3 linked regions of the Anolis sagrei genome follow. The protein of the gene in region 3 purifies or fractionates together with the protein of the main gene of each other region. This does not show direct contact. Links are inferred from orthologs where the notes say so. Each region holds a gene or a part of one and is shown on either strand. Other genes may lie near its edges. The genes, in order: IGSF8, ITGA6 and CD9.

Evidence for each region.
Region 1: the proteins of CD9 (region 3) and IGSF8 purify together in Homo sapiens (affinity purification with mass spectrometry; 5 studies listed by BioGRID and IntAct, counting the BioPlex papers as one, with this or other methods). This does not show direct contact. The link is inferred for Anolis sagrei from reciprocal best matches to the Homo sapiens genes CD9 and IGSF8.
Region 2: the proteins of CD9 (region 3) and ITGA6 purify together in Homo sapiens (co-immunoprecipitation; 3 studies listed by BioGRID and IntAct, with this or other methods). This does not show direct contact. The link is inferred for Anolis sagrei from reciprocal best matches to the Homo sapiens genes CD9 and ITGA6.

What each region holds. Positions count from the first base shown.
Region 1 is NC_090032.1:7,677,194-7,684,428, reverse strand, and holds the start of IGSF8 (immunoglobulin superfamily member 8), read right to left. Parts: upstream 4,159-7,235; 5' UTR 3,953-4,158; coding exon 3,850-3,952; intron 1-3,849. UniProt on the Homo sapiens protein: Member of the immunoglobulin superfamily (IgSF) that links tetraspanin-enriched microdomains to the actin cytoskeleton and plays several important roles in innate and adaptive immunity.
Region 2 is NC_090021.1:193,437,190-193,444,424, reverse strand, and holds the start of ITGA6 (integrin alpha-6), read left to right. Parts: upstream 1-2,818; 5' UTR 2,819-2,931; coding exon 2,932-3,098; intron 3,099-7,235. UniProt on the Homo sapiens protein: Integrin alpha-6/beta-1 (ITGA6:ITGB1) is a receptor for laminin on platelets. Integrin alpha-6/beta-1 (ITGA6:ITGB1) is present in oocytes and is involved in sperm-egg fusion.
Region 3 is NC_090025.1:103,252,489-103,259,723, reverse strand, and holds the start of CD9 (CD9 antigen), read left to right. Parts: upstream 1-3,397; 5' UTR 3,398-3,520; coding exon 3,521-3,586; intron 3,587-7,235. UniProt on the Homo sapiens protein: Integral membrane protein associated with integrins, which regulates different processes, such as sperm-egg fusion, platelet activation and aggregation, and cell adhesion.

The sequences.
Region 1 (7,235 bases), on a different chromosome or scaffold from region 3:
TGGAGTGCCGCAGGGTTCCATCCGGGGCCCGGTCCTGTTCAGGATCTTTATTAATGACTTAGATGAAGGGCTAGAAGGCAGGATCATCAAGTTTGCAGATGACACCAAATTGGGAGGGAGAGCCAAGACTCCAGAGGACAGGAGCAGAATTCAAAATGATCTTGACAGATTAGAGAGATGGGCCAAAACTAACAAAATGAAGTTCAACAGGGACACATGCAAGATACTCCACTTAGGCAGAAAAAACGATACAGAATGGGGGACAATGCCTGGCTCGAGAGCAGAAAAAGATCTTGGTGTTCTCGTGACAACAAGTTAAACATGAGCCAACAATGTGACGTGGTGGCAAAAAAGGCCAATGGGATTTTGGCCTGCATCAATAGGAGCATAGTGTCTAGATCTAGGGAAGTAATGCTCCCCATGCTGTATTCTGCCTTGGTTAGACCATACCTGGAATATTGTGTCCAATTCTGGGCACCACAATTCAAGAGAGATATTGACAAGCTGGAATGTGTCCAGAGGAGGGCGACTCAAATGATCAAGGGTCTGGAGAACAAGCCCTATGAGGAGCGGCTTAAGGAGCTGAGCATGTTTAGCCTGAAGAAGAGAAGGATGAGAGGGGATATGATAGCCATGTATAAATATGTGAGAGGAAGCCACAGGGAGGAGGGAGCAAGCTTATTTTCTGCTTCCATGGAGACTAGGACGCGGAACAATGGCTTCAAACTACAAGAGAGGAGATTCCATCTGAACATGAGGAAGAAATTCCTGACTGTGAGAGCTGTTAAGCAGTGGAACTCTCTGCCCCGGAGTGTGGTGGAGGCTCCTTCTGTGGAAGCTTTTAAACAGAGGCTGGATGGCCATCTGTCGGGGGTGCTTTGAATGCAATATTCCTGCTTCTTGGCAGGGGGTTGGACTGGATGGCCCTTGAGGTCTCTTCCAACTCTTTGACTCTATGATTCTCTCCTGACGTTTCGCTCACATCTATGGCAGGCATCCTCAGAGGTTGTGAGGCCTGTTGGAATAGGCAAGTGCCGTTTATATATCTGTGGAATGATGTCCAGGGTGAGAGAAAGAACTCTTCTTTGCTTGAGGCAAATGTGAATGTTGCCATTGGGACCACCTTGATTAGCACTGAATAGCCTGGCAGCTTCAAGGCTTGACTGCTTCCGGCCAGAGCGAATCCTTTGTTGGGAGGTGATTAGCTGACCTGATTGTTTCTTGTCTGGAATTCCCGTTTTTGGTGAACCAACCTGGACACAGAGTTTTATTTGAGAACACATAAATTCCGGAGCACTCTAACAACCACCATGTCAGACTACACAGAGAAGCCACTGAAATCCACAAGCATGTGGACAATTTCAACAGAAAGGAGGAAACCATGAAAATGAACAAAATTTATTTATTTATTGAATGACATTTATACCCCACCCTCTCTCACCCTGAAGGGGACTCAGAGCGGCTGACAAGTTATATGTACATACAGTATAACGGCACGCCATGCAATCATGCTGGCCACATGACCTTGGAGGTGTCTATGGACAACACTGGCTCTTCGGCTTAGAAATGAGCACCACAGAATCATAGAATCAAAGAGTTGGAAGAGACCTCATGGGCCATTCAGTCCAACCCCAATCTGCCAAGAAGAGGAATATTGCATTCAAATCACCCCTGACAGATGGCCATCCAGCCTCTGTTTAAAAGCTTCCAAAGAAGGAGCCTCCACCACACGCCGGGGCAGAGAGTTCCACTGCTGAACGGCTCTCACAGTCAGGAAGTTCTTCCTCATGTTCAGATGGAATCTCCTTTCTAGAGTTGGTCACGACTCGACTTAATGTCAGGGGAAAACCTTTATCTTTACCTACACTTTATTATATTATTAGCATAGCACAAAAAGAATGATTGACAACTGGGAAATAGAGGGAGAAAACATGGAGGTAGAGACAGACTTTGTATTTCTAGGTGTAAAGATTACTGCAGACGCAGACTGCGGCCAGGAAATTAGGAGACGCTTCCTTCTTGGGAGGAAAGCAAGGGCCAATCTCGATAAAATAGTGAAGAGTAGAGACATCACACTGGCAACGAAGATCCGCATAGTCAAAGCAATGGTATTCTCCATAGTGACCTACAGATGTGAGAGCTGGACCATAGGGAAGATAGATGCTTTTGAACTGTGGTGTTGGAGGAAAGTGCTGAGAGTGCCTTGGACTGCAAGAAGATCCAACCAGTCCATACTTCAGGAAATAAAGCCAGACTGCTCATTGGAGGGAAGGATAGTAGAGGCCAAGATGAAGTACTTTGGCCATATCATGAGAAGACAGGAAAGCTTAGAGAAGACAATGAAGCTGGGGGAAATTGAAGGAAAAAGGAAGAGGGGCCGACCAAGTCCTTGAAGTGACTGGATTGACCTTGAAGGAGCTGGGGGTAGTGACGGCCGACAGGGAGCTCTGTCATGGGCTGGTCCATGAGGTCACAAAGAGTCTGAAACGACTGAACGAATGGACAACAACAACACATAGCACAATATTATTATTATATATTACTATATTGTACTATACCACTATACTGCAATATTATTATCAATATTACATGTATTATGTAATATATGATTATTATATTGCTATATTGTATTATTAGTAGTATTATATTGTAGTATTATATTGTATTATATTGTATTACATTATTTACATTATTTACATTATTTAAAAAACTTCTAAAGCCCAGACAGTAAATAAAGAACCACACTCAAAAACAGGAGAATTCCAGACAAGAAACTATCAGGGCCAGCTAATCACCTCCCAACCAAGGATTCCCCCAGGCAGGAAGCAGCCAGGCTTTGAAGTTGCAAGGCTATGGAATGCTAATCAAGCTGCCCTACTGCAACAATTATACCTGCCTCCAACAGACAAGACTTCTTTCTCCCACCCGGGCATTATTCCACAGACATATAAACACCACTTGACTAGTTTCCAACAGATCTCACAACCTGTGAGGGTGCCTGTCATAGATGTGGGTGAAACATCAGGAGAGAATGCTTCTGGAACATGGCCATACAGGCTGGAAAACTCACAGCAATCCAGACAGGAGTGTTTCTCCCACACTGGACATCATTCCACAGATATATAAACCCCACTTGCCTAGTTTCCAACAGGCCTCACAACCTCTGAGAATGCCTGCCGTAGATGTGGGTGAAACGTCAGGAGAGAATGCTTCTGGAACATGGCCATACAGGCTGGAAAACTCACAGCAATCCAGACAGGAGTATTTCTCCCACACTGGACATCATTCCACAGATATATAAACCCCACTTGCCTAGTTTCCAACAGGCCTCACAACCTCTGAGGATGCCTGCCATAGATGTGGGTGAAACGTCAGGAGAGAATGCTTCTGGAACATGGCCACAACAACCCAATGAATCAGTCTTGGATTTCCCCAGTCCCCAGCTATCTCACTTCTTAGAGTCTATCTGTCAAACCCAATTGCTCAAGCATAAACCCCACCCAAAGACTCCATCTCTCCACCTCCCTTTTTGCAGGAATTGCTTCTTTTTGGAGACGTTTTTCAAAGGGAAAAAGAGAAAGGAAAGCAGGAACGTGAGAGGAAAGGATTAAGGGGGGAAGGGAGAGCAAGGGATTAGCTATGAAACACGGCTCCCCACTTGATCCAAGAGCCCCCCGATTTTGAATGGCTCTCTTGCAAAGAGGGTCCCCCCAACCGTCTCCAAGGCGTTGTCTTGTGCGCCTTTGCGCCTTTGGGCGCATCTCAAAACGAGGGAAGATCTCCCCCCAAAAACACACTCCAATGAAAGAATCCTTCCTTTGCCGCCTCCCCCCACATCATTGGACTCACCGACCAGAAGGAAAAAGACGTGGATCAGCCACGGGGGGGTCTTGCGAGGAGCATCCATTGCAAGAGAGGAACAGAAAGGTGGGAGCGAGTGGGCAGGGCGCATGGATGCTGTTGCTGCTGCAGTTCCTCTCCCTCTTGTTCCTCTTTGGCGCCCGGATCTGAGCCAACCTTTGACCCCCTCCCCAAAATGAGGTTTCCCCTCGCCCTGGCCTTCTGGCTGCCCCCTTGTTCAAGAGATAAGGGGGTGAAGGGGGCTTCTTGGCTGGCTTGCCCGCCTTCTCGCTCGCCACGCCCCCGCCAGATGTGGAGAGGAGGAGACAAGGGAGGGATGGGTGAGTGAGTGGCTCATGGAAAAGACCCTCCCTCCTCTTCCCTTCCTGCAGTGACTCTGTGCATGCTCAGAACTCATTTGTGGCCTTTTTGTACCAAAGATAGAAACACATTTTGACTATTGGTTTTTTTTCAAATTAGAAGAATGCTACTAATAGTCGAAGGGTATATTAGGGACATCTTTTGGGTGTCGAACAGTGAAGAAGTTAAAACCAGCAGACAGAGTCCGCACTGTTGTATGCATAGTATGTTTCCTGTTCTTGTATGTACAGTATACAAGAACTGTTGTATACGTAGTATATGTGTGCTGTTGCACGCTGGGCCTGTGCATAAGACTGTAGACAGGACATAAATTCCGTGTGCCCAACGGGACGCTGGGGCTGCCTCAGATTAACGGCCTTTGGATTTCCTTAAAACAGAGTCTTTAGATTGCTTAAAGGTTCAACAAATTCTTTATTATTGAAAACAAACAGGTACTTTAAGGCTTTCTTAATAGTCTATTGGCTCTCTCTCCAATCTTGTCCACAGGGAACAGGCGCTATCTTCATAAACTGTATACTAACTAATGGGGAAATCCTTAACTTCTAATCTGGGCAGTCTGTCTTTGCCCCTACACCCGGTACCAACTGCTTCTGGCTTCCGCGAGTTACCCTTACCAACAGGCCCATAGCCAGGATTTCGATTCGGGGGGGGGGGGGGGGGGGGGGGTGTGAGTTTTTTTTAGGGGGATTTCGGGGAGGGTGAGTTTCGGGGGGGCTGAGTCTGAGTGAAAGAGGGTCTAGCCTAGCAAACCTTTTGTATCATTACCCCAATACCCCCATGCACATGGGATATATTGAGTATGGTGATCAGATCATGATATGAATAAACATAACAGTTTAAATAATGCACCAGCAAGGCCTTTTCGCGAACCACCATGAGAATTTCGGGGGGGGGGGGCTGAAGCCCCTCAAGTCCCCCCCCCCCCCCCCCCCCCCCCGGCTACATGCCTGCTTACCAAGCAGAGCTTTGTAGACTTCCAGGGAAAAAGGAGTTCAGGTTTCAGTGATGGCTGACTGAAGTCCCACAGCAAAAGAGCTGTAAGGCTGTATGATCCTCGGCCAAGCTGTGGGCTGTATAACCTTGGCCAAGCGGTGAGCTGTATATCTCCCCGGCCAAGCTGTAGAAGACAAAGCTTTCTACAGGAGCTCTTGGTATTATGTCCTGCATGAAAGGCTTCTCTGTGTGGACTGAACCCAAAAAGGCTCCTATTCCCTCCAAAAACCCAAAAAGAGACCTAACTATAATTGACAGGTGGCTTGCCCTATGATTGCAGCCAAAAGAAGCCACCTATCTGCAGAGTCCCTGAAACTTAGGACCACAACAAACATCAAATGCAAAGCAAACAACATTGGAGCTCCTGGTGCGGTTGTACCTGCACAATATGTTTACTGCTTACTGTTGTATGCAGAGTAAACGTTTGCTGTTGTATGCATCTATATAAATAAAAATATAATGTTCGTTTGTGGTATTCACAGAACTCAAAAACCAGTGGGCCAATTGACACCAAATTTGGACAACATACACCTAACAACCCAACCTATATCCTTCACTCAAAAAAGTTTTGATTTTGTCATTTGGGAGTTGTAGTTGCTAGGATTTATAGTTCACCTACAATCAAAGAGCATTCCGAACTCCACCAATTATGACATTGAACCAAACTTGGCACACAGGACTCCCATGACCAACAGAAAACACTAGAAGGGTTTGGTAGGCATTGACCTTGAATTTGGGAGTTGTAGTTCACCTACATCCAGAGAGCACTGGAGACTCAAACAGTGATGGATCTAGACCAAACTCTACACAAATACTCAATATGCCCAAATGTAAACACTGGAAAATATAATCTTGACATTTGGGAGTTGCAGTTGCTGGGATTTATAGTTCACCTAGAATCACAGAGCATTCTGAACTCCACCAACCAATGATGAAATTGAACCAAACTTAGCACACAGTTATCCCATGACCAGCAGAAAATACTGGAAGGGTTTGGTGGGAAGTGTTCTTTGGTTTTGGAGTTGTAGTTCACCTACATCCAGAGATCACTGTGGACTCAAACAATGATGGATCTGGACCAAAATCTACATGAATACTCAATATGTCCAAATGTGAACACTGGTGGAGTTTGGGGAAATAAACCTTGACATTTGGGAGTTGTAGTTGCAGAGATATAGTTCACCTACAATCACAGAGCATTCTGAACCCCACCAACGATAGAATTGGGCCAAGCCTCCCACACAGAACCCCCATGACTACCAAAGTGGGCCACAGCAACGCATGACAGGGGATGGCTACTTTTATCTTTATAAATAAAAATGTAATATTCATCTTTGGGATTAACAGAACTCAAAAACCGGTGAGCCTATTGACACCAAATTTGGACACAATACACCTATCAGGCCAACAAGTGACCATCACTCATAAAAAATTGAAAAACACAGCAGAAAAGACTTAAAAAGCCAAAAAAAAAACCTTACAACACATGCGCAAAACCACACATATACACAAACACACATACACAAATATATATACACATATATGCATATATATACACACAAAACACAGAAAGGGGGAAGGAAGGAAGGAAGGAAGGAAGGAAGGAGAGAGGGATAGAAGGAGGGAAAGAAGGAAGGAAGGCAAGAAGGAAAGAAAGGTAGTGAAGGAGGTAAGGAGAGAAGGAAATAAAAAAGTGAAAGAAGGAAAGAGAGAGGGAAGGAGGGAAGGAAGGAAAGAGAGAAGGAAGGAACCAAAGAGCAAAGGAAGGGAGGTAAGTAACAGGTAGAGAATGAAGGAAGAAAAAGGGAAAGAAGAAGGAAAATAAAAAGAGGGAAGGAAGGAAAGAGGGAGGGAAGGAAGGAGAGAAAGAAAGGAAAGAAAGAGGGAGTGAAGGCTTGGCCACAGTCACTCATAAAAACACTGAAAAACACAGCGGAAAAGACTTAATAAGCCAAAATAAAAATACATTACAACGCATGCGCATAACCACATAAATGCACATATACACAAATATATAAATA
Region 2 (7,235 bases), on a different chromosome or scaffold from region 3:
GTAATATGGAATAGTTCCATTAGATCAATACAACACCTTAAAAACTTTGAAAAAGACATATTACACTGGGAAACACAGGATGCCAAGTTGGAGAAAACTGCCTTAGGCATTTGCAGCAGAAAAGGTCAACACAACACCGATATACCTATTAGCAAAGGATGTGGAACCACTCAGAGTTTCATGTTGGCTTTGGGTTTTTGGCTTGAGCGAGCACAAGGAGCTCATTCATGAGACATGTTGTGGCCTAGCTCTCATTAACAGCCAATGCGTTGTACAGATTGGGGATTCGAAGGGCAGCCAAGGATGGGAAAATCCCAGTTCAAATTACTGCTCAGCCTTGAAGCTCAATGTGTGACCATGGGAGAGCTGCTGTCTTTGAAATAGCCTTTCATGATTATTGTGAAGGCAAAAGGGGACTGAAACTGTGTATGGTAAGAAATAAACACACATATGAGAGAATCCCCATATCCAAGTATTCAACCTTCCACGTCTAGTAAATATTCACACACACATACACTTCAATTTTGCTATTTTATAGAAGGGAACCCAATTTTACTATTCCAGCATTTCTCAACCTGGGGGTAGGGACGCCTGGGTGAGTGGGGAGGGGATGTCAGAGGGGTTGATAAAGACCATCAGAAAACATGGTATTTTCTGTTGTTCATGGGGGTTCTGTGTGGGAAGTTTGGCCCAATTCTATCATTGGTGGGGTTCAGGATGCTCTTTGGTTGTAGGTGAACTATAAATCCCAGCAACTACAACTCTTAAATGTCAAGGTCTATTTTCCCCAAACTCCACCAGTGTTCATATTTGGGCATATTGAGTATCTGTGCCTAGTTTGGTCCAGATCCATGATTGTTTGAGTCCACAGTGCTCTCTGGATATAGGTGAACTACAACTCCCAAACTCAAGGTCAATGCCCACCAAACCCTTCCAGTATTTTCTGTTGGTCATGGGAGTTCTGTGTGCCAAGTTTGGTTCAATTCCATCATTGGTGGAGTTCAAAATGCTCTTTGATTGTAGGTGAACTATGAATCCCAGCAACTACAACTCCCAAATGACAAAATCAATCCCCACCCCCACCCCATCACTATTCAAATTTGGGCGCATCAGGTATGTGTGCCAAATTTGGTCCAGTGAATTAAAATACACCCTGCAATCAGATATTTTACCTTACGATTCATAACAGTAGTAAAATTAGTTATGAAGTAGCAACGTAAATAATGTTATGGTTGGGGGTGACCACAACATGAGGAACTGTATTAAGAGGTTGTGGCATTAGGGAGGTTGAGAACCACTGAACTATGTCATTGCATATAATGACTTGAGTATACATAAATTTTGGCATACTGGAACCGTATCCCAGTGGATAAGATTTTCAACTCCAACAAGTTCCTCTAAAGCAGCTTACAAAGAAAGAATAACACTGAATAAAACATAAAAATCAACACTAGATTAAAACTATATATTAAAAGCATTAGAATTAAAACCTATTTTAAGGATCATGCCATCCCAAGCAGAAAAATAATATTTTCATGGTTCACTTCACATGCAATGAAGGGTGAAGCTAGTCTTCGCCTCAGTGGGATGGAATTCCACAACTCCCACAGAAAAGGCCCGTCCTTCTCTTCCTGTCAATCAACCCTCTTTGGGTGAAGGGACATAAAAGGAGGGGGTTGGAGAGACAGTGGTTTCCAAATAGTCAAAAGGCTGCCACATAGAGGAGTTAATGGACTTATTCTTTGGTACCACCGTGAGTTCAGTTCTTTGAGCCAGGATGCAGCCAGGCTTTGAAGCTGCAAGGCTATTCAATGCTAATCAAGGTGATTAATTGCAACATTCACACTTGCCTCAAAGAGACAAGAGTTGTTTCCGCCCCCCCCCCCGCCCCCCCCCCGGACATTATTCCACAGATATATGAATCCCACTTGCCTAGTTTCCAACAGACCTGACATCCTCTGAGGATGCTTGCCATAGATGTGGGCGAAACGTCAGGAGAGAATCCTTCTGGAACATGGCCACGCAGCCCGGAAAACTCATATACTTTTTTCCCACCCTGGACATTATTCCACATGCATATAAACCCCACTTGCCTAGTTTCAAACAGACCTGACAACCTCTGAGGATGTCTGTCATAGATGTGGGCGAAACGTCAGAAGAGAATGCTTCTGGGTCATGGCTACGCAGCCTGGAAAACTCATATACTTTTCTCCCACCCTGGACATTATTCCACATGCATATAAACCCCGCTTGCCTAGTTTCAAACAGACCTGACAACCTCTGAGGATGCCTGCCATAGATGTGGGCGAAACGTCAGGAGAGAATGCTTCTGGAACATGGCCACGCAGCCCGGAAAAGTCATACATATACTTTTCTCCCACCCTGGACATTATTCCACATGCATATGAATCCCACTTGCCTAGTTCCCAACAGACCTCACAACCTCAGAAGATGTTTGCCACAGATGTGGGCGAAACGTCAGGAGATAATGCTTCTGGGAAATGGCCAGACAGCCCGGAAAAGTCACAGCAACCCAAAATGTATTATTATGATTATGATATTATGATCATAGTGTGGTTGATTCCCGTCCACACGGGAGCTGCCAAGTAGATTTTGCTTTCCCACCTGAAACCCCCAACAAGCCCTGGGATCCGTCCCTGGAGGAGCGCCGACCGCGCAGTGGATCCGCCTGACTCTCGTGGGTCTGCTCCAGAGTGCGAGGCGAGGTTGGGGGCGAGGTTTCAAGGGGGCGGCGCCTGTTTGTGGGGGCGGAGCTCGGCCCCTCCTTCGTCACTGGGAGCGAGTCTCTGGAGAGAACAAGGGGCTCATTCAGAGGGAGGGAGGGAGAGAGGGAGGCAGCCGTGAGCCCGGGGCCTCTTCTTCTTCTTCTTCTCCTCCGCGGGACTCCGGCCCTTCCAGGGACCCTTAAGCATGCTGCCTCGGCCGCCGCCCGCCTTGTACCTGTCCCTCCTCCCGGGGCTGGCGCTCGCCTTCAACCTGGACGTCGGCAATGTGGTCTTGTGGAGCGGCGAGCCCGGAAGCCTCTTCGGCTTCTCCCTGGCCATGCACCGGCAGCTGGAGCCGCAGGAGAGGAGGCTGTGAGTAGGAGCACCAGAGTGTACACATAGATAGAGAGGTCTCTGCCTTTGCATACCTCTAGAGGCTGCTTGGCTGGACTTCACTCCTGCCCAACTCAGACCTGAGTGCCCAGGTTGGCGTGGATGGCGGTGGCCATTGGGAGCTCCCAGGACCTTGTACATCAAGGCAGGAAACCCCACATTAGTGTGGACTCAGATAACCCAGTTCAAAGCAGATCTTGTGGGATTTTCTGCCTTGATATCCTGGGATATAGGGCTGTGTGGAAGGGTCAGTTCAAAGCAGATATTGGATTTTCTGCCTTGATGTTCTGGGTTATATGGCTGTGTGGAAAGGCCCGCAGATAACCCAGTTCCAGGCTGATCTTGTGGGATTATCTGCCTTGATATCCTGGGATATATGGCTGTGTGGAAGGACCCTCGGATAATCCAGTTCCAAGCAGATATTGGGGGATTTTCTGCCTTGATCTTCTGGGTTATATGGCTGTGTGGAAGGACCCTCAGTTAACCCAGTTCCAGGCTGATCTTCTGGGATTTTCTGCCTTGATATCCTAGGATATAGGGCTGTGTGGAAGGGCCCTGAGTCTCACCTGATCCTTTTTAGGCTGGACCCACTCTAACCACGAGTTTTCCCCTATATTTAGAACCAGTCCCACCAAGGCGTTGCAATTTGGGAGCTTTTTTGGACTTCTAAAAGCAGATCAGGCTGGCATTTTTGAAGGGATCGTCTTGTTCTTTCCCTGCAGGGAAAAGGGTTGGACTGGATGGCCTTTGGGGGCTCTCTGTGAGTGTAGGATTGGAAACTTGGGCTCCAAACTCTTTTGGCTTTTGAGTCGCGCCTTTTCCATCTCTGGGAAGGGAGGTGTGGAAGGAGGGAAGGGGAGAGGCTGGACCCACTTCCGCCGGAGTGGGGCCTTGATCCCTACCTTCCAACGCCGGTGGCACACTGGGTTAAACCCTTGTGCCGGCAGGACTGAAGATCGACAGGTCGCAGGTTCCAATCCGGGGAGAGCGCGGATGAGCTCCCTCTGTCAGCTCCAGCTCCCCACGCGGGGACTTGAGAGAAGCCTCCCACAAGGAGGGTAAAACATCAAAACATCCGGGCGTCCCCTGGGCAGCGTCCTTGCAGACGGCCAATTCTCTCACACCAAAAGCGACTTGCAGTTTCTCAAGTCGCTCCTGACAAGGGGAAAAAAACAAAACCCTGGAAGTCGTGCTTAAGTGTTTGGCTGCGTCTGTTTTATTTGAACTGAAACCTCGGAGAAGCCACCTGTTTGCAAGCGCATGCTCAGATCTGAGGAGAAAAAAACAACAACAACAGATGAGGAATGGAGGCAAAATCATGGGACTGATCAAGCATTGAGAGCTATGACCCTAGTATCTACGCTTTCCATTTAGAGCAGTTTCAACCCGGTATTCGAGGCTCGGTTGGTAATTCCACAGAGCTCTTTTCCCTCCTTTCCCGCGCTTTGTGAGGAATGTGTTGTCTGGTTACTAACTAACGTCGAGCAAAAGGTTTTGCAACATCTACAACAGGTAGGGGCAAACTTCGGCCATCCTGGTGTTTTGGACTTCAACTCCCACAATAAGGAATTGTGGGAGTTGAAGTCCAAAACACCAGGAGGGCCGAAGTTTGCCCCTACCTGTTGTAGATGTTGCAAAAACGTTTGTTTTCCGGAAGTGCTACCTGATTTCACACAGCGCCATATTAAAAGAAACAAGATTCCGAAGCAGATTCAAAACACAACAAAACAGCCCAGCCCAATAGGCTTGGCATCCTTAACCAAGAATGTGAAGGCTTCAGGGTGTGTGTGTGTGTTGGGTGTGTGTTGTGTGGGCAGAGCAACACAAGCAGCCTCCCCTGAAGGGAAGGCGAGCCTCGCAGGTCAGCTCAGCAACCCAGCGCCAAAAGGCGGGCCCAAAACAAGCCAATGAGGTGGTTGTCCTGGGAGGAAAAGCAACTTGAAAAGACAGGATGCCAAGGTGGAAAGGCTCTGGTGGAATGTGCCTGCTTTGAAGATTTTTTTCAGTGTCAGGATCAACTTGAGAAACTGCAAGTCACTTTTGGCGTGAGAGAATTGGCAGTCTGCAAGGACATTGCCCAGGGAATGCCCAGATGTTTTGATGTTTTACCATCCTTGTGGGAGGCTTCTCTCATCTCCCCGCATGTGGAGCTGGAGCTGACAGAGGGAGCTCAACCCACTCTCCTCGGATTGGAACCTTCGTTTTGTTGGTCAGCAGCCCTGCAGGCACAAGGGTTTAACCCACTGCGTCACCACTTTTTTTGGTCGTGTCAGAAGCAATTTGAGAAACTGCAAGTGTGTGAGAGAATTGGCCATCTGCAAGGACAGAGGACGCCCGGATGATTTGATGTTTTAATCATCCTTGTGGGAGGCTTCTCTCATGTCCCCGCATGAGGAGCTGGAGCTGATAGAGGGAGCTCATCCGCCTCTCCCCAGATTCGAACCTGCGACCTGTCGGTCTTCAGTCCTGCCGGCACAGGGGTTTAACCACTGTGCCACCACTGAGAGCAGAAGATGAAACACAGTGGGAGGAGAAGGAGGAAGCCTTTCCTTCTCTGTGGTGTCTTCAGATATGGTTCTCTTGAGCGACCAGGAGACTTTTGACTTCAGTTTCTTTTCATCATGTTGCTGGTTTATGCACTTCATTTCAGGGAGGGAGTTTTAAAGGTGTTGTAGCATAAATTATCCTGAGGAATCTGTATATGGACCAAGAAGCAACAGTAAGAACAGACCAGGGAACAACAGACTGGTTCAAGATTGGGAAAGGAGTACAGCAGGGCTGCATACTCTCACCCAACCTATTCAACTTGTATGCAGAACACATCATGCAACGTGCGGGTCTTGACGAATCCATGGCTGGAGTTAAAAATGCTGGAAAAAAACATTAACAACCTGAGATATGCAGATGATACCACTTTGATGGCGTTTTTTTTTTGTTGTGTCAGGAGCGACTTGAGAAACTGTTAGTCGCTTCTGGTGTGAGAGAATTGGCTGTCTGCAAGGACATGGCCCAGGGGATGCCTGGATGATTTGATGTTTTTATCATCCATGTGGGAGGCTTCTCTCATGTCCCTGCACGAGGAGCTGGAGCTGACAAAAGGAGCTCATCCGCCTCTCCCCTGTCGGTCTTCAGTCCTGCCAGCTCAGGGGTTTAACCAACTGCACCACCGGGGGCTCCTTGCTTCGATGGCTGAAAGCAAGGAGGAGCTGAGGAGCCTTCTAATCAAGATGAAAGAAGAAAGTACAAAAGCTGGGTTGCAGTTAAACATAAAAAACCAAGATTATGGCAATCAGACTGATTGACAACTGGCAAATAGAGGAAGAAAATGTGGAGGCAGTGAGAGACTTTGTATATCTAGGTGCAAAGATTACTGCAGACGCAGATAAAATAGTGAAGAGTAGAGATATCATACTGGCAATGAAGATCTGCATAGTTAAAGCAGTGGTATTCCCCATAGTAATTATGGATACGAGAGCTGGATCATAAGGAAGGCTGAGCAAAGGAAGATAGATGGTTTTGAACTGTGGTGTTGGAGGAAAATTCAGAGAGTACCTTGGATTGGAAGAAGATCCAACTGGCCCATACTCCAGGAAATAAAGCCCGAGTGCTTATTGGAGGGAAGGATATTAGGGGCAAAAATGAAGTACTTTGGTCACATCATGAGAAGACAGGAAAGCTTGGAGAAGACAATGATGCTGGGGAAAATGGAAGGAAAAAGGAAGAGGGGCCGACCAAGGGCAGGATGGATGGATGGTATCCTTGAAGTGACTGGCTTGACTCTGAAGGAGCTGGGGGTGGTGACGGGCAACAGGGAGCTCTGGTGTGGGCTGGTCCATGAGGTCACAAAGAGTCGGAAGCAACTGAATGAATAAACAACAACAACGTGTAAATTATGTAGCAGGAGGCTCTCATAACAATCCTGTTAGGAAAGTTATCAAGTGAAATACCAGACATGGGCAAACTTTGTCCCTCCAGGTGTTTAGCACTTCAGTTCCCACAATTCCTAACGGTTGGTAAAGTGGTTGGGATTTCAAGTCCAAAACACCTGGACGGCCTATGTTTGTCCATGCCTTGTCTAAACAGCAGATTGAATGCAGCATGGGGCTCATGCCAGCT
Region 3 (7,235 bases):
TCCCTTGGCAGGCTCGCGCTGTGCATCGGGCCTGAGCCAGGCAAGGGAGCCTGAGCCAGCCAAGGGAGGCTGCTCCGCGTGGTCTACTTGCGCGTAAAGCACCTCGCGAGGCGCTTTACACGCAAGTAGACCACGCAGAGCAGCCTCCCTTACTCGCAAGTAAGCCGCGCGGGCCTGCTCCTCCCTTGGCAGGCCCGATGGACAGCGTGAGCCAGCCAAGGGAGGCTGCTCCGCGTGGTCTACTTGCGCGTAAAGCACCTCGCGAGGTGCTTTACTCGCAAGTAAGCCGCGCGGGCCTGCTCCTCCCTTGGCAGGCTCACGCTGTCCAAGGGAGGCTGCCCTGGTGCTCCATGCAGTCATGCTGGCCACATGACCTTGGAGGTGTCTACAGACAACGCTGGCTCTTCGACTTAGAAATCCAGATGAGCACCACACCCCAGAGTCAGACACGACTGGACTTCATGTCAGAGGAAAACCTTTAACCAGGAAAATCTTGGAAGATCCAGGGTGGGAGAAAGAACTCTTGTCTGTTGGAGGTAGGTATGAATGTTTCAATTGGCCACCTTGATTGCCATTTCATAGCCTGACAGTTTTTAGGGAGAATCCTTTGTTGAGAGGTGATTAGCTGGCCCTGATTGTTTCTTGTCTGGAGTTCCCCTGTGTTTGAGTATTGTTATTTATTTACAGTTATAATTTTAGATTTTGTTCAGACTGGAAATAGGAAGATTTCCCATTCTCTTCTCCTGGAATTGCTGTCTAAAGAGGGCTAGAAAGAACCCCCTCTAAGGGTCCTTCCACACAGCAAAATAAGATATGTGCAATGTGCATAGGAATTTTTTAATTGATTTTTTTTAAAAAACTATAGTCCGGCCCTCCATCGGTCTGAGGGACAGTAAACTGGCCCCCGGTTTAAAAAGTTTGAGGACCCCTGCCCTAGATGGTCCAAGTTTAGGTATTTGACTGACCACATCTCCTTGTGTGAACCTGCCCAGTCCTTGAGATCTTCAGGAGAGGCCCTTCTCTTGGTCCTACCTCCATCTCAAGCACAGTCGGTGGGAACGAGAGAGCAGGCCTTTTTTCTCAGTGGCTGTCCTTCAACTCTGGAACCCCTGCCCAGGGAAGCCAAAATGGCCCCTTCTCTTCTGTTCCTTCCAGCGGCAGACTAAAACCTTTTTATTCAGGCAGGCTTTTAAATATGAAGGTGTTTAAGGCAGGGGGTGCTGTGGATTTATATGCTTTTATGGTTTTAACTTCAATTGGTTTTAATATGAATTATGCTTAATATTATTTTCATATTTGTATATTGTATATTTTAAGTTGTATCGTAATACTTTTAATTGTGAGCCACTTTGAGTCTCCATATGAAGAGAAAAGGTAAGATATAAGTAAACATAACATGCTGCCTAAAAAACTCACAGCAACCCGGCATTATTTTCATTAAGGAAAATTACAAACTCAGGGCCTAGAGACTGGTGGAAATAATAGTACTCCCCTCAGCCACAGAAAATGAAGTTTCTGGAGTATAACAACTACTTTCAAAGTAAGTACCGCACAATTTAACAAGAAATAACACTTTCAAAGCAGGTGAAAGCTTCTCTGGGACCAAAGGGAAAAGCAGTCTTTCTGGAGCCCAGCAAACAGTCCCAGTGTAAGTGGGAGGGGAGGGGAAAGAGAGAGAGGGAAGAAGAGGGAAAGAGAGGAAAAAAGAGAGGGGGAGAAGGGGAGAGACAGAAGAGTGAGTGAGGGGGAGGGGGTCAGAGAGAGAGAACAGAGGGAGGGAGGGAGGAGAGAGAAAAGGAGGGGGAGAGAGATGAGAGAGGAAGAGAGGGAGGGGTGAGAGAGAGGGGGAGGGAAGGAAGGAAGGGGAGAGTGAGGAGGGGAGAGGGAAGAAGAAGGGGAGAGGGAAGGGTGAGAGAGGGAGGGGTAGAGGGAAGAAAGAAGAGAAGGAAGGGGAGAGAGAAGAAGAGAGGGGGAGAGTGAGGTGCTAGAGAGAGGAGGGGAGTGGAAGAAGAGAGAGGGGGAGATGGAGAAAGAAGGGAGAGGGAGGGGTGAGAGAAGGAAGGGTAGAGGGAAGAAAGAAGAGAAGGAAGGGGAGGGAGAAGAAGAGAGAGGGAGAGTGAGAGAGGAGGGAGGGAGGGGGAGTGGAAGAAGAGAGAGAGGGAGAGAGAAAAAGAGAGGGGGGTGAGGGGCCAGAGAGGAGGGAAGAAGGGAGAGGGAGGGGGAGAGAGGGGGGAATGGGAAAAGAGAGGGAGGGAGATAAAGAAGGGGAGAGGGAGGGGGAGAGAGAGGGGGGAGTAGGAAAGAGAGAGAGAGAGATAGCAGGGGGAGAGAAGAGAGGGAGGGGGGAGAGACAGAAGAGAGGTGGAGTGAGAGGGTCAGGGAGAAAGAGAGAATAGAGAGGGGAGAGGGAAGTGGGAGGGATGGGAAAAGGGAGAGAGAGGGAGGGAGGGGAGAGAAAAGGAGGGGAGAGGGAAGAGAGTGGGAGAGAGTAAAGGGCCAGAGAGATGAGGGAGTAAGGGGCGAGAGAGAGGAGGGAGCGAAGGAGGGGGAGAGGGAGGAGGGGAGAGGGAGGGAGAAAGGGACAAAGAAGGGGAGAGGGAGGGGTAGAGGGAAGAAAGAAGAGAAGGAAGGGGAGATAGAAGAAGAGAGGGGGAGAGTGAGGTCCCAGAGAGGAGGGAGGGGGTGAGAGAGAGGGAAGAAGAGAGAGACATGGAGAAAAAAGGGGAGAGGGAGGGGGTGAGAGGGGGGTAGAGGGAAGAAAGAAGAGAAGGAAGGGGGAGAGAAAAAGGGGCAGAGAGAGAGGGGAAGAAGGGAGAGGGAGGGGGGAGAGAGGGGGGAGTGGGAAAAGAGAGGGAGGGAGTTAAAGAAGGGGAGAGAGGGGGGAGAGGGGGAGTGGGCAAAGAGAGAGAGGGAGATAGAAGGGGAGAGGGAGGGGGAGAGAAGAGAGGGGGAAGACAGAAGAGAGAGGGAGGGAGGGGGTCAGGGAGAAAGAGAAAATAGGGGGAGAGGGAGGGGAGGGAGGGATGGGAAAAGTGAGAGAGAGGGAGGGGAGAGAGAGAAGAGAGGGAGGGGAGAGAAGAGAGGGAGGGAGAATAAAGGGCCAGAGAGATAGAGGGGGAGAAGAGAGGGGGGGAGAGGCAGAAAGAAGGAGAGAGAGAAGAAGAGAGGGGGAGAGAAGAGAGGGAGGTGTAGAGGGAAGAAAGAAGAGAAGGAAGGGGGGAGAGGGGAAGAGTGAGGAGGAGGAGAGGAAGAAAGAAGAGAGGGAAGAGTGGGGAGAGAACAGAGAGAGAGGGAGAGATGAGGGAAGGGCGAGAGCGGGGCCCGCAGGCCTGGCGTGACGCCGGCGAGGGCGGGCGGAGGAGCCCAGGGAGCGGCCCTGGGGGCCGGGGTGGAGCCCGCGACGAGCCGGTCTGAGGAGTGGCCCTAGGGAGCGCCTTTCCCTGCCGGGGCTGCTCAGACGCGCCTCCCGCCTCGCCACGCAGAGAAGCACCGCCGCTCCCGCTGCCTTCGAGTCGCCGCCATGCCCGTCAAGGGGGGCACCAAGTGCATCAAGTACCTGCTCTTCGGCTTCAACTTCGTCTTCTGGGTGAGTCCCCAGCACTGAGAGCAGGCTCGCCTCAGCCGCCGCTCACCTGGGCAAAGAAACTCTCCCCTCCCCTCCCCCGCCCGGTCGAAAACCGAGCGCGAGCCCCTTCTCCGAACCCTTCCGAAGCGTTCCGAGTGAGGCTTTTTTTCCCCTCCTTTCCGAAGAGGCATTTGCTAGGGAACTCTAAATGCAGAAGGAACTTTAGCGCGCGCGCTCTCCACCGAGTAGAAGCCGCCCTGGTTGGCTTCTTTGAGGCAAAAAAAGCAAGAAAGCCCCGGATGGTGGGCACGCGGACCCCCCCCCCCCTTCTTCTCCCTTCCCAACCTCCCAGGTGCCTGGCTCCTTGGAAGGTGAAGCCACAGTAGTGCGTTCCCATCAAAATACTGTAATACTCCAATAATAATAGTTGGTAGAGACCCCATGGGCCATCTAATCCAACTCCTTGCCATGCAGGATAAGCACAAAGTACTCCTGACAGATGGCCATCCAGCCTCTTTAAAAAAAAAAAAAACCTCTAAAATCAGGACAGTAAATAAAGAGCAACACTCCAAAAGCAGGGGAATTCCAGACAAGAATCAATCATAGCCAGCTAACACCTCCCAATAAAGGATTCCACCAAGCAGCAACCAGCCAGGCTTTGAAGCTGCAATGCCATTAAAAGTAGTCAGTTACAACATTCACACCTGCCTCAAACAGACAAGCGTTCTTTCTCCCACTCTGGATATTCCACAGATATATAAACACAGATATGGAGCCCCCAAGATGCAGTGGGTTAAAGCGCTGAGCTTGTTGACTGAAAGGTCGCAGGTTCGAATCTGGGGAGCGGCGTGAGCTTCCGCTGTCAGCCCCGGCTTCTGCCAACCTAGCAGTTCGAAAACATGCAAATGTGAGTAGATCAATAGGTACTGCTCCAGCGGGAAGGTAACAGCGTTCCATGCAGTCATGCCGGCCACATGACCTTGGAGGTGTCTATGGACAACGCTGGCTCTTCAGCTTAGAATGGAGATGAGCACCACACATGAGCTTCCACTGTCAGCCCTAGCTTCTGCCAACCTAGCAGTTCGGAAACATGCAAATGTGAGTAGATCAATAGGTACCACTCCGGCGGGAAGGTAACGGCATTCCATGCAGTCATGCCAGCCACATGACCTTGGAGGTGTCTACAGACAACGCTGGCTCTTCAGCTTAGAAATGGAGATGAGCACCACACCCCAGAGTTGGAGACCACTGGACTTCATGTCAGGGGGAAACCTTTACCTTTACTATAAACCCCACTTGCCTAGTTTAGACCTCACAACCTCTGAGGATGCCTGCCATAGATGTAGGTGAAATGTCAGGAAAGAATGTTTCCAGAACATGGCCGTACAGCCCAGAAAACTCACAGTAACTCATCCAGCCTCTGTTTAAAAGCTTCCAAGTAAGGAGCCTCCACTATACTCCGAGGCAGAGAGTTCCACTGTTGAACAGCTTTTCCAGGGCCTTTCCACACAGCCATATAATCCAGACTATCAAGTCAGATAATCCACAATATCTATTTTGCACTGGATTGTCTTTGTCTTATGTTTGTTATAACAGGCTGTGCTTTTTATTTAATTTTAGTTTGTTAAGTTACAATTCGCATTAATATGTTGGGTTGTATAAATTTTGTTATTATGGATGTATTGTTGTTGTATTTAGGCATTGAATGTTTGCCTTTTATGTTTGGAATCTGCCCTGAGTCCCTCTGGGGAGACAGAGCAGAGTATAAATAAAGTTTTGTTATATTACTAGCCATCTCCTGCCACGTGTTGCTGTGGCCCAATCTGGTGATCTCAAAAATAAAGTAATGAGAAAGTGTTGATTTCTAATATATGTAATTTCTTTTTGCTTGTGGGTAAACAGTATTACTTGCTGTTTCTTTGTCAGTGTTGATGTGGAGAGTGTCTGGTTTGCCCACCCTGGAACATGGAACATATTATTGTCCTTTAGGGATCCCTTTCAAATCTATGATATTATATCTGTCATATACATATATATGTGTATGTGTGTGTGAATCAAATATACCTATCTATATCTATGGCTAGATGGTTCTTTGTCAAGAGGGCTTTGATTATGTTTTCTTGTCCTGGTGAAGGGTGTTGGACTGGATGGTCTTAAGGCAGTATATCTCAATTTGGGGGTCACAAGGGGGGTGTTATAGGGATGAGGTCTGTCTACAGTGAAATAGAGTGGGACTGTGACTTTCCTCGGTCTAGACACTATATTCCTGTTGATGTATCCTAGAAGCATATTGGCTTTTTTAGCTGCCACATCTTTCTATTGCAATGTTTCTCAACCTGGGGGTCAGGACCCCTGGAAGGGTTGCGAGGGGGCATCAGAGGGGTCACCAAAGACCATCAGAAAACACAGTATTTTCTGTTGTTCACGGGGGTTCTGTGTGCCAGGTTTGGCCCAATGCTATCGTTGGTGGAGTTCAGAATACTCTTTGATTGTAGGTGAACTATAAATCCCAGTAACTACAACTCCCAAATGTCAAGGTCTATTTTCCCCTAACTCCATCTGTGTTCACATTTGGGCATATGGAGAATTTGTGCCAAGTTTGGTCCAGATCCATCACTGTTTGACTCCACAGTGCTCTCTGGATGTAGGTGAACTACAACTCCCAAACTCAAGGTCAATGCCCACCAAACCCTTGTAGTATTTTCTGTTGGTCATGGGAGTCCTGTGTGCCACGTTTGGTTCAATTCCATCATTGGTGGAGTTCAGAATGCTCTTTGATTGTAGGTGAACTATAAATCCCAGCAACTATAACTCCCAGATGTCAAAATCAGTTTTTTTAGTGATGGTCACTCCTTGGGTTATTAGGTGTCTTGTGTCCAAATTTGGCGGCAATTTGTCCAGCGGTTTTTGAGTTATGTTAGTCCCACAAACAAACATTACATTGTTATTTATATAGATGATGATGATGATGATGATGATGATGATGATGATTATTATTATTATCTGCCATATAGTCCAATTCAATGCCACCTTCTGGACACCTTCCAGCTTGTCTATATCTCTTTTGAACTGTGGTGCCCAGCAGTGGACAGTATTCCAGTTGAGGTCTAACCAAAGCGGAATAGAGAGGGACCATGACTTCCCTCGATCTAGACCCTATACTCCTTTTGATGGATCCCAAAATCCCATTGGCTTTTTTAGCTGCTGCATCACATTGTTGGCTCATGTTTAACCAGTTCTCCATGAAGACTCCCAAGATCTTTGCCGAGTATTAATTTTGGAGTGTTTGTTAAGTGATTTGATTCTCACTTCTTTTTTGTGGCTTGATATATCTGGAGAACATCGATGGAAAATATATTTCTTTATCAGCATCTGGATGATCAGAGGACATGCCACATTTGAATCCTATCACAGAGTACATGGAGATGATCTCATATTGTCCTCACAGTGGCCCATGTATTAAATTTGTGAGAAAATGGCCTTTAAATGTCAAGCAAAAAGTTTCATGACCAAGCTTTATTTCGATCAATAACACTATGTAACACAATGTTTGTTCCTGGGTTATAAATGTCATTTCTGTCATAAAAAAACATGGGAAGAGTGTATTAAACTGCCCAACGTTTGTTCTCGTGGGACATACCGAGGTGATAGTTTTTCAATTATAATATCT